Oryzias latipes: one gene and its partners. The protein of the gene in region 1 purifies or fractionates together with the protein of each later gene. This does not show direct contact. Links are inferred from orthologs where the notes say so. Each region holds a gene or a part of one and is shown in the gene's direction. Other genes may lie near its edges.

Region 1 (3,652 bases):
AACCTGCTGCAAAGTGACATATCTGCCAGCCAGTTTGGACCAGGAGGAAAGCAAGGTGCTGGTGGAGGAAATCCAGCTAAACCTAAAAAGAAGAAACCACCACGCAAGAAAAAACCCAAAGAGGGGGATGGACAACAACAAGTAGAGGGGCTTGGGTAAAACATGTTTTCTTCTTTCATCAGGTCCTGTGTCAACAGCATATTCTTTATTTAACCAAATAAACTTTTATTTTATCCTTATAGAGGTCTTGATGCTGCTGCTGGTATGGAAGATTCTGAATTGCCTAATCTGGGTGTGGACCAAGGTTTGGGTTTGGACAACGCTGGCCAGAAGCTTCCTGATTTTGCTAATAGACCTCCAGGTAGTCAAACTAACAAAACACTAAACTTAGTTCATTTCCTTGTTTTGTTGTTAAAACAACCAATATACTAAAATGCAAATGCTCTTTTGTTCTAAAAATTGTACATTTATCATAATTTATATCACTGATCTGTTTTATACTTCCAAGGGTTCCCTGGTCAACCTGGAGAGCAGAGGGTACTGCAACAAGCCCCCATGCAGTTTATACAACAACAACAGCAGCAGCAACAACAACAACAACAACAACAGATGCAGCACATGCAAATACAGCATCAAATTGCACAACAACAGCAGCAATTGCAACAACAACAGCAGCAAATGCAACAGCAACAACAACAACAGCAGCAGCAACAACAACAACAACAGCAGCAGCAGCAAATACAGCAACAACAATTGCAGCAACAGCAGCCGATGATGCAGATGCAGGGGCTCCAGAATGCTCAAGGATCACAGATGATGACAGGGCCACAAGCATCAGGTCAAGGTCAACCCCAGATGCACCCGCATCAGCTGCAGCAGCAGCAGCAATCTCAGCAGCCACACCTACAACAGCAGGTAGACTTTTGATTTGGTATTTTATCCTAGATTGTTTCTTTTAATTCAGGACGCACTTTAACCACCCGACTAAACTTTAATCTTAATTTCTTATCAAGCAACAGCAGCAGATGATGCTGATAAAAATGCAACAGGAGCAATCAAAAAATCGCATGCCCATCTCCACTGGAGGACAGCTTCCTCCTCGAGGAATGGGCAATCCTGCAGACATTCAAAGGCATCCCAGTTCACAGCAAAGCAGCATGCCTGTAATGATAAGCCTGCAAGGTCATGGCAGTGTACCACCATCCCCTGATAAACCCAGAGGGATGCCTCTGATGGTAAACCCACAGGTAAGGGGTGATTTTTAGTAGTACCATCATTTTCATATTCCCATCCCATCCTCTGATTCTCTTGGAGGAAATTTTAACGCAGATTATATTTCCTTAAATTTCTAGCTTGCAGGGGCTGCACGAAGAATGTCCCACCCTGATTTAGGGCCGGGGGCTCAAAGCTCTGGATCTGAGGAGGCTTCTGTAGGTGCCCACTCAAAACAAGACAGACAAGGGGGCTCAGAAATTGGTTTACAGCCAGGAAATGGGTCCCAACAAATTCCAACCAGCCAGGTCTCGAACACACACATGATAAAACAAGGGCCTGGTTCAACACAAATGCCTCAACACACAGGATCCAGTCCCCAACAGCAACTACCCACGCTGCCTCAACAAGCAGGGCACATGCCTGGCCATCATTTCCCCAATGTTCCTACAACTTCACAGAGTTCAAGGCCTAAAACTCCGAACAGAGCCAGCCCCAGACCTTACCACCATCCCCTCACTCCATCAAACCGTCCACCGAGCACTGAACCTTCTGAAATTAATCTTTCACCTGAGAGACTAAATGCTTCAATTGCTGGACTGTTTCCTCCAAAAATTAACATTCCTCTGCCTCCAAGGCAGCCAAACCTTAACAGGGGATTTGATCAGCAAGGGCTGAACCCAACAACTCTCAAAGCCATTGGACAGGCTCCACCCACCTTGACTTTAACAGGAAACAACGGCAACGGCAGCTCTGGTGGAAATAACACTAATAATCAGCAGTCTTTGTCCTCTGGTGTAGGAGTTTCAGGTACTAAACAGGAAAAAGTGTCTGGAGGGCAAAGTAAGAGGGCAAGTCCTAGCAATAGTCGGCGGTCAAGTCCAGCCTCTAGTCGCAAATCAGCCACACCAAGTCCAGGAAGACAGAAGGGGGCAAAAATGAGCATTGCATGCCCTCCCCACCAGCAGCAACTTGTCAGTCCTCAAGGGCAAGCAATGATTTTAAGCCCTTCTTCTATACCTCCAAGTCCAGTATCTATGATGTCACAAGTGAGTGGCAGTATGGAGGCACAACAGATGCAGAGTGCCTTGCAAGGTCCTCATGGAAATCCTGTTGATGGAGTCAGGGAAAATCAGGGGACAACTACTACAGAACAGCAACACACACCCCAGCCCCAGTCTCAGTCTTTAAGAGACTTATCAGCCTCAAGAATGACAAATGTTCATGCACCACGACAGCCCAAAGCTGACTTGGAGGGGCAGACTGGTAGTGTTGAAAGGCCATTGACACAACCGGTACCCACACATAACCCTGATATTTCATCATCTTTCAGAACAGCTCCAACTTCCCTCAACCAGTTACTGGATAACACGGCTATGTCAAACAAGCCTCTTCGCCCCTCAAAGAGTAATACTCCTGCTGGTGGAAAACACAGTCCCAAATCTACTTTGGAGTCAGATGCATCACTTCACAGTAATTCTCAGAACACAGAAAGGTCAATGAATGTTGCTACTACCACCGCTGCAAATGAAACTGAACAGAATCCCAAACCTCTTGTTCAAGTCCCCACTTGTAATCCAAACCTGCAGCAACTTACATCAGTTCCCAGCTCTCACTCTGCTAATAATGTAAATACCAATACTATTCTTAGCTTTACCCAAACTGCTAACTCTAGTCTTGTTAATCCTGATTCAAATGTAAATACCACATCTTCCCATTGCAACTCAGTTAGTACAAACACTAATGCAACCACAGGTGCAAGCCCTTGTACAGTCACTTCCAGTCATAACAGTTCTGCCTCAGCTATAAATGCTAGTTCCAACTCAAGCACTGCTCTAAACCCGCCCAGCTCTGCTCTTAAACCGAGCCCAAGTCCCAAACCCATGTCTAGCGTTCATTCTGTCATACAGATCCCTGCGTCTTCAACCACCATTTCCTCCAACCAGATTACAGTGTTTGTCACCTCCAATCCTATAACTTCTACCCCCACATCGATGGTGTCCACCATGATGGCTGCTGCCAACAAAAACTCAAGATCTCAGGATATCCGACAGCAGAGTCCTGGCCCTCGACCACCTCAGTTTATCACCACAACCCCAGTATTTATTAATCCAATATTCCAGGTTCCTGGCTCCTCTGTGGCTCCTAATAACTCAGTAGTATCTCAGTCAGTCACCATGGTAGGGTCTATCCAAATGCCTACTGGAAGCATCCAACTTTCTCCTGCCCTAAATTCCACACAGCCATCAGGGGTTAATATAGCTCCCTCTCAGCCCAATAGAACGCTTGCTGGACAGGTTCAGGTAGCTACTAATGCAGTATCCACAACTCCAGTTGGTGCTATCCTAGCTTCTCACCAAACCAACCCAGGAGCAACAAAAGCAGAAAGTCAAAATGAGACCACTTTGTCTCAGAAATCTAATCCTGCACTCTGGAAACC
Region 2 (4,394 bases), on another chromosome or scaffold:
AAGCAGTTTAGATCAGATGGAACATATGGTGGTAAGTGAGGTCCATGTCACTCAAAATCTTTCTCATTACTACAACCTGTGTAACTGATTGAGTTTACCCTGTGCTGACTGCTTTGTTATTTAAAAATTTAATAAAATACTGTAAAAAAATAAGTTTTTTCTTTTTCTTTTTAAGTAAAAAGAACATAAATTGTGTCTGAAACTAACTGAATGTTTGACAACTAGATATCTACTTAAGAAGCCTTTTCCAATCATTTTAATATGATTAAACGTGTAATTAAAAAAAACTCTGTAAATATTTATTCTAATTTGCATTCAGCTTCTGTAACACATAATTACTTTGGTTACAAAAACATTCACACTATTCAAATGATTATTTAAAAATCTCATCTTTAATTTACTATCCATTTAGCCTCATCATTTGCTTGTCATGTGCACGAGTGTGAATGTTACAACTCTGACCATCGGCCTCAAGCCTTTTAGAGTAATTGGGTCAATACTGGTTAGTGGTGTAAATGCACACCAGCGGAAAGGTCAAAACTTAATAAAGGACACTGGTATTGTGCAATGTCTCCAACTCAGTTGATGTCAGAAACCCTACTGACCTTTGAGATCTGATGCAAAAAAAGACAGGTGAATTCTTCAACAATCAGTGGTGCTGATAAGCTTCTGAGAACTTTTGGATCAGACTAAATTACTGATGTCACCGATATTACAAGTAAAGTACACTTAAAATGTCTTTCCCCTTTTTAAGCATCATAATATTCAATAAACCATTAGTGACATTACAAAAATATTTGTTTTTATACACATATACAAGTTTTCGATTTAGTCAGTGTTTAGTTTACATTTTCAAAAGCTTGAGAAGGTGTATTTTGTGTATATTCTGCAAGCGTTTAAAAAATCCCACTACAAAGATGAGGCAGAAAGCTGTTCCTTCCTCAGGAGTGGTTGGAATTTAAAAGTCAAATTTAAAAATATAATAATCTAACAACAGTGTACAATGTTTTTGTCAATAAAGTTTTTTTTGCAATTTGTTGTCCTGATGCTTTGAGGCATTTAAATTATACAACCAAAAATAGTAATGTATGGTCTCAGCCACCAGGGGGAGCTCACGGTTTGGTAAAGCGGTAACCGGGCACAGTTTGAAGGGACGGGGTTATGTTTATGTCCATTTCTTTTACCTCATGGCTTCACCTGGAGATACTCGTCGTGTCTTATCTAAGGAAGCCGGTCAGGCGGTGGATCGTTGCGGGCATGAAAAGCACGCTGAGTCCACGGATAACGATGTTCCATCCAGCCGCTGAAAGCCGACCTCTGGGGACTCTTCTCAAAGTTAACCCTTGCATGTACAGTATGTCTGCCTGATAGGCGATGAATAATGCCATGCCTGCTGTGTATGTGCGTGTGTGTATGCATTTGTGTGTGCGTCTTCGCCCGTGCGTACGTGCGTGTGAGAGAGAGAGAGAGAGAGAGAGAGAGAGAGAGAGAGCGAGACACAGAGAGAGAGAGAGAGAGAGACAGAGAGAGAGAGAGTCTAAAAGGGGACGCTTTAATTTGGTGGCAGAGAGGGGGCAGTTACGGCTATTTTTCTAAACTACCAAAGCCGTTGCGGATGAAATATAACATCTATTCCAGAGTTAGTCATTTATAATTGTAGAAATCCGACGACGGCAGGATCTTTGTCGCTAGAGAAGGTTTGCAGGGGCTGGAAACTGAACTGTTGACACTCCCACCCCCGAAAAGACTAGAATCCAGTTTCCGTCTTTTGGCTACTTCCTGGCCATTATTTTATTTACTAAATGCTGGTATCCCTCCGCAGGGTCAGAGAGTATTTTGAACAGAATGTAAAACGGTTTGCGCTCTGTTTTCTTGCATGTCGTGCTATCAACGTGTTTAAAATCTGACGGGTTTTTGAAGTGGCACCGTCCTGAGGAGTCACGAGGATTACTAGGTATTTGTTTGCTCAAGTTCTGTCAGTAGGTGGTGGATCTAGATTGTTAGGAGCCTGGAGGGGGATGTGGTTCGATGCCACTTATCATTAGATATGGCCATCGTTTTTAGACTACACCGAGGCGTCATCTTTCCCTTAATTTTGTCATAAATCGTGGGAATTTGGGGTTTTGCTCCGCGTGGCAGGCATAATGTTGTTTTTTGCAAACTAGTGTTTGCTTTCCCATATTTTTGGAGCCAGTTGTTACTGCGTGGCAGAGTGGTTACGAGAGTCTTCTAACTAGCCGCTTGGTCCCGCAGCTTGTCGCAGCTGAAGAAAATAGAACCAGTTGTTGCCAACCCAGCAGTCGGCATCCAACATTTGCTTTGCACAACGCTATACCTTTAAAAAGGATTGTGTTACATTGCTTTATTCCCGGGGCTCTTGCAGTGGCGTGTATTTCGGGGTTTCTTTGTGTGTCTGTGTTAATGATAAAAAAAAATTGCTGGCCATAGACTTGGGTGGCTAACGCCAACTAGCTATATAACCTGAACTCGTGCGACGACAGCTGTCATTGGAGAAAGGAAAGTGATCCCAACAAATGCGCCTGCCAGTGAAGCGGTTTTCTGTTGGATTTACATCAGCTGCTTTCCCGTCAAATGGGTAAAGTTTGGAATTACATTGCAACGCTGGAATACAATGCTATAGATGCGCTGTGCATTTTTGAGAAAGGCTGTGTTGTTTCATTGGAGAGAAGCTAGCTAGCCTTGTTAGCTTGCTAGCTAGCTGTGTGATAAAAGTGCGACGTTTTTATTCCCCAGTGTTTTTGGACATGAAGAGGATAATTCGCTGTCCATAGGGCCGGAAGGTAAGATAAAACCCTCACTTGCATTGTGTTTGTGTTGGCTATATTTACCCAGAATTCGCCTTTTCAAATGAGAGTCTGAGCCAACATTATCCTTCAGTCTGATGTTGGGGGAGGTTGTCGCCGCCTTGGCTTTCATGACTCAGACTGTTCAACGGAACGGAACATAAAACGGGACGGTTCATTATATTTTGCATAACGCCGACTTCGGAGGGCAAAAAATATATATATGGGCTTATTGTCGCGTTTATTTATTGCACAAGTCGGCCAATCGGCAGTTGTGTACAGCCGACATCAATTGTTAAAGGTAGACTGTAAACCAAAGCCTTGTATGTTGTGTAACGTATCATTCACTTTTTGTGAAGCATCGTTAGTTCCTCGAAACAGTTCCGCTGGATTGAACAGTCCGAACCTTTGTGTGTTGGACACCGATAAGTATTGGTGCTTTGATGATGATTAATACATATTTAGCGCCATCTTCCTAAAGTCGGTATTAACATCATGAGACATTATGTTTAGCATCTAACCCCAGCCTCCAGTTGCTGTGAGTTGCCAACTAACTACAGCCAGTGGTAACCTGTTTGCTTTGCGAGCCCCTTTAAGTCTCGCTAGTAGTAGTTGATGCCTTTGCCTTTGTACTGTATTGTTTGACGTAGGCATCAGCCTACTTTCAGTTTGACTAATTTTGACAATGCCTATGTTAGGTTCATCTGCCGCAGAAAAGGCGACATTGTTTAAAACAACACGCTAGCCCTCGCTAGCTTTTATGCAGCTGCTTTGTGCCCAAGCTTGGTTTGACAAAAGCTATCGGAAGGCATGTTTTCAATTGTACCCTGGTGGTCGTGACTGCTGCTTACCCAAGCCTTATATGACATGCACAGTCAGTTACATACATGTAATGTTACAAATCTCACAGATCTCCTCTTGTTTCCTCATTGAAAACCAGTGTGGCCCCATATATCCAGCAGAGCTTTTACTGACATGAAATAGAATTTTTTTTTCTTTCCATGTTAACCTTCTTTTGACAAGTGTTTCTAATGGATGTGACCGAGCAGACCTTGTAGTGGAGGCCAGAATTGACATAAATAAAGAAATTATTTAATCCTAGAGTGAATGAAGGGTTTTTGTTCCAGGAAATTACTAAAAACTGGGGTTTTTTGTAACCCATTTGGCCTCGAGCTGTTAAACATATCTACACAAACTATTACTTTTACTTCTACTGTTTTTTTTATTTTTATTTAACTGGAATCTTTTCTAACGCAGCTCTGATGAAAATACTAAATGGACACCTGCCAAAGCTACACAATTTTTTCCCATTAAAATAATTGTTTGCAAAATACCTTCAGGACCACAACAAAAAAGTGTGCCTTTTTACTTTAATAAAGCAAGAATATATACCTAAAATATTAAAATAGGTATATATAATTGCAGACAAGGATTGAATTCTTCTTTTTTTCTGTATGGTGACCATCATATAAAAACATGTTAGTTCTCATACTGTCACTTGGGAAGGAATCAGATCTTAAGGATGAAATCTGCTCATGTTGTTGCATCTTATTTAATTGACGAAATGTACTCTACGAATGATTGTATAAT
Region 3 (3,652 bases), on another chromosome or scaffold:
CCAACACCCGTTTGATCGATCAGCAGTGAAACAAACAAAAACAATCAAACGAAAATTACAACAGAAATTCAAATGAACACTTATTTGCAGAAAGAAAATTGAAATATGTTCTACAATATTGGCATGTAGTGCAATTCATCCTCATAAATAATAGTTAACAGAACGAAATAATGTACAAAACTGACATTCCCGTCAGTGTGTCCGTCTGGCGGAGCAGATAGGTGCGGGCGTGCGGACGGACGGACAGACGTACTAATTGTCCACTGGGGAAAGTTGCTTTCATAGTAAAACCTTCTTCATCAGTTACGGAATTATGGTATTCATGCATATGCCTTTAGTTTGTTTTATTTTTGATGAAACAATGTATGGCGTATGTCTCAACCATTCAGAAAGCAACAAGAAATTACATTTGCGCTGAACAATTTCCCATTTCCACGTCGATTATTACCGACTTCTGCAGCTTGTCAGATGTAATTAAATGGAGGGAAATAAAATGCCCCATCACAATGCGTAATGACGCACAATGGCTGATCTTGCGCTCTTAGAAGATGTGGCAAATGGAAGAATTCAGAGAGAACGCATCTTTAGACAGCAAGAAGATTTGCTTATGAGTGGCTTATGAGCCGGTTCCGACTTCCTCGAGCCGTCCTCTTGGACCTCTGTGGGCTTTTGGGCCCGGCGTTACAGAGGAGCACTACCGGCCACGGTCCGAGGTTGTGAGGCTACAGCATTTACGGCGTCTGCCACAGTTTGCCACTCACGTGGCTTTTTGGCATTAGTAATGCCCACACTGTGCCCTCCAAACAAACACTTTTCTCCTCTTTTCCACCTCGCCAACAATAACTTCTACTTCACATTGAGTGAAGTTACGTTTTTTTGATTTTCTCTCCGTGTTTGGCATGGTTTTGCAATCAATGAATATTCATTCGTGGGCGTTTCACGGACTATTTATGGGGAACTATAGGCGTGTCATGAGGCCGCAAAAGCTGCGCTGCATTTAGAATTGGTTGTGATTTATTAAGGGAAAGATGCGTAGGATGTGCGTGCGCACGGTTTTATAAATCTGAATATTTCTGTGCGTACGCACGTCCTATGTTTTATCCGTACGCCACTTCTGACGCAAATCCTACGCAAAGTTTTATAAATGAGGCCCCAGATCCTTATGTTTTGCCTCTACTGAGGGCATTTCTTTTTGGTCTCTAGGTGGAGCTGACGCTACAGCATTACACTTTATTCTAGAAGATATGAGAAAAAAATTGGCTTTAGACCACAAATGGTTACTTTAAAAATGTTTCCTTAAAAAAAATTGGAAAAATTAATCCCAATAAATATGTGAAGCTGTTTATTAGACAGCAAGGTTTAGGTCAAACGAGCGCTAGCATTAGCCGTCCTATGGGATTTTCCATTATACCTTAGCATCAAGCTAGCAGACTTTCGCCTTACGGCTGTTTTGTGTTAGGTCATCTCTGCTTTTATGGATCGATTATTGATCTATAAAGCTTGGATCGATTCAGATTGATTAATCCCTTTATCAACCCAGCCCTACTTCGAAGTAGAGGTGGGATGCGACTCGTCCAGATGTTTTCTTGCACCAGAATTTTGTAGAAACCTTATAGACTTGACTGAGTTTAGTTTTGAGCTGTGAGCTCTGATGACCCCAGTCCTGTGTCAGTTGATGTCAGCGCTGCAAATGAGCTTCCACTGAAGTATAAAAATGGGGAAGGAGGAGGTAGGCCTCTCTAGCACCACAATTTAATGGTTTTAGGATTAGGTAGTAATCTAAAACTGTCTCAGACAGAACGGCGTCCATCCTGGGAACTGTCTGGATAATAAAGGACTCTGACTTTTCATCAATTTGTTTTATTATTATTTCCATTGAAGCACTTTGAGCTACTCAGTGTTTCAATACTTCACCCTTCCATTCTGTGATTGTGTACAGGTTGGAGGAAATACATTCCCCCAGTAAGAAACTCCCTCCAGAATCTACTCCACATGTTATTTTCACCGGCTTTGAGCCCCCACAGGTGCAGCAGCTCACAAAGGTTAGATCAACTTCCTCCCATCTAGACGTTTTTCCGTACGGAGTGATTTATTTTCTTATGTGTCGCGTTTTTGTTCAATGTTGTGCAGAGGCTTCACGCTCTCGGCGGGGAATTGGCTGAAAATAGCCTGAAAGCCACTCACCTGGTGGCGGTGAAGGTGACCCGCACCGTCAAGTTCCTCACTGCCATGTCGGTGGTCAAACACATAGTGAGCCCCGAGTGGTTGGAGGAGAGCTGGAGAAGCCAGAAGTTTGTAGGTAGGTGCATCGCATCCAGTTCAGAAAGCCATCTAATCAATATGAATTGAAATATCTCCCACCTCAAGGATAAAAAAAAAGTATGCGTTATGTGGGATTTTATTTTTAAGCCTGAATTCGAGCAAAACCTGAAGCAACGTCCTTTGAGAACTACTGACTGTGATGGGTGCAAAGACTTCCTAGTGATGGGATCGTATTTTACTTTTAGTGAAAAAATAGGACAATATGGAAAACAAAGCAAGAAATTTCCTAAAGGGAGTGAGAAGAAGTAAAAGCCGTATGAATTCTCCCCCCTAAATTATTTTTGCTAGTTTATTATACATTTTTATTCGATGTGAGGAATGCATGAATCTCTGCAGTTCTGCTTCACGAACACGCTCCTGAGTGCAATAAACGCCAGACTGGGCGGCAAAAACGCAACAAATGAAAGGATGACCTCAAATGACACAAAAAGCTATTATATTAAAAAGTATGTCCAAAACCTTTTCAGTAAATATTAAAAATCTTTATGCTTCAGCATTGAAACCTTTTCCTTCTGACATAAAATTAAGTTGTAGAATAGTATCTGCAGTCTAATAGCATGTAAACAACCCATATAAGCGTTTTGTTAGACAAAAAAGAACCTTGATGCGTTATTTGATCTTTTATTTTCTTCGACTAAATGACATGTATTGCCGTCATTAAATCTTTATTACATTCTGTTAGTCATCTAGCTTATGAAAAATATCTTTTGAAGATATTAAAATCTTAAATCATGTGGATAATATTAAATTACGATCATTTTCACTAATTTCCTACTTGTTTTGATTTCTTTGTGTTGCTCCTTAAGATGGCCTGGGTTTTGGTTTTCCATTAAAGGAGGAGGAAGTTGTGTTCAGCTGAACTGACTTTGTAAATGTCTCTTTCAGGTGAACAGGCTTTTATTCTGAAGGATGCTGAGGCAGAGGTGTTGTTCAACTTCAGTCTGGAGGAGTCTCTGAGGAAAGCCCACAGCGCTCCACTCTTCAAGGTGACACAAAAAATCAACTTTAGCTTAAAATACTCATTTCTTTCAAATTTCATTAACAACCGAATGTGCAGCTTTTTTAGGCTTCCCTTTAGTTAAAAGAAAATCCTTTTGCGCATTGTTTTAAAAGTAGATGAGCTTTAATTTGAAGGGAAAAGGAAGAATCATTGAAGAATCCACTTCATTGATTCAGGGAGAGTTTAGACTGGAGGATAGAAACAGTAAAGAGTGAAATGAATGAAGGTGAAACTGTCTGAGCGTGATGCGATGGTGCTATTGCTTGTCTTTGTGGTGATGGTTGATACAGGGAAAGTACTTCTACTTGACTCCGGGAGTCTGCCCCAGCT

The links.
Region 2: the proteins of ncoa6 (region 1) and histone-lysine N-methyltransferase 2C purify together in Homo sapiens (co-immunoprecipitation; 7 studies listed by BioGRID and IntAct, with this or other methods). This does not show direct contact. The link is inferred for Oryzias latipes from reciprocal best matches to the Homo sapiens genes NCOA6 and KMT2C.
Region 3: the proteins of ncoa6 (region 1) and paxip1 purify together in Homo sapiens (co-immunoprecipitation; 6 studies listed by BioGRID and IntAct, with this or other methods). This does not show direct contact. The link is inferred for Oryzias latipes from reciprocal best matches to the Homo sapiens genes NCOA6 and PAXIP1.

The regions. Positions count from the first base shown.
Region 1 is NC_019865.2:14,781,451-14,785,102, forward strand, and holds part of ncoa6 (nuclear receptor coactivator 6), read left to right. Parts: coding exon 1-155; intron 156-242; coding exon 243-361; intron 362-508; coding exon 509-915; intron 916-1,013; coding exon 1,014-1,247; intron 1,248-1,352; coding exon 1,353-3,652. UniProt on the Homo sapiens protein: Nuclear receptor coactivator that directly binds nuclear receptors and stimulates the transcriptional activities in a hormone-dependent fashion. Coactivates expression in an agonist- and AF2-dependent manner.
Region 2 is NC_019875.2:25,341,747-25,346,140, forward strand, and holds the start of histone-lysine N-methyltransferase 2C, read left to right. Parts: upstream 1-1,535; 5' UTR 1,536-1,954; exon of another isoform or gene 1,955-2,596; intron 2,597-2,754; 5' UTR 2,755-2,801; intron 2,802-4,394. UniProt on the Homo sapiens protein: Histone methyltransferase that catalyzes methyl group transfer from S-adenosyl-L-methionine to the epsilon-amino group of 'Lys-4' of histone H3 (H3K4).
Region 3 is NC_019875.2:13,211,856-13,215,507, reverse strand, and holds part of paxip1 (PAX-interacting protein 1), read left to right. Parts: intron 1-1,939; coding exon 1,940-2,042; intron 2,043-2,130; coding exon 2,131-2,299; intron 2,300-3,207; coding exon 3,208-3,308; intron 3,309-3,612; coding exon 3,613-3,652.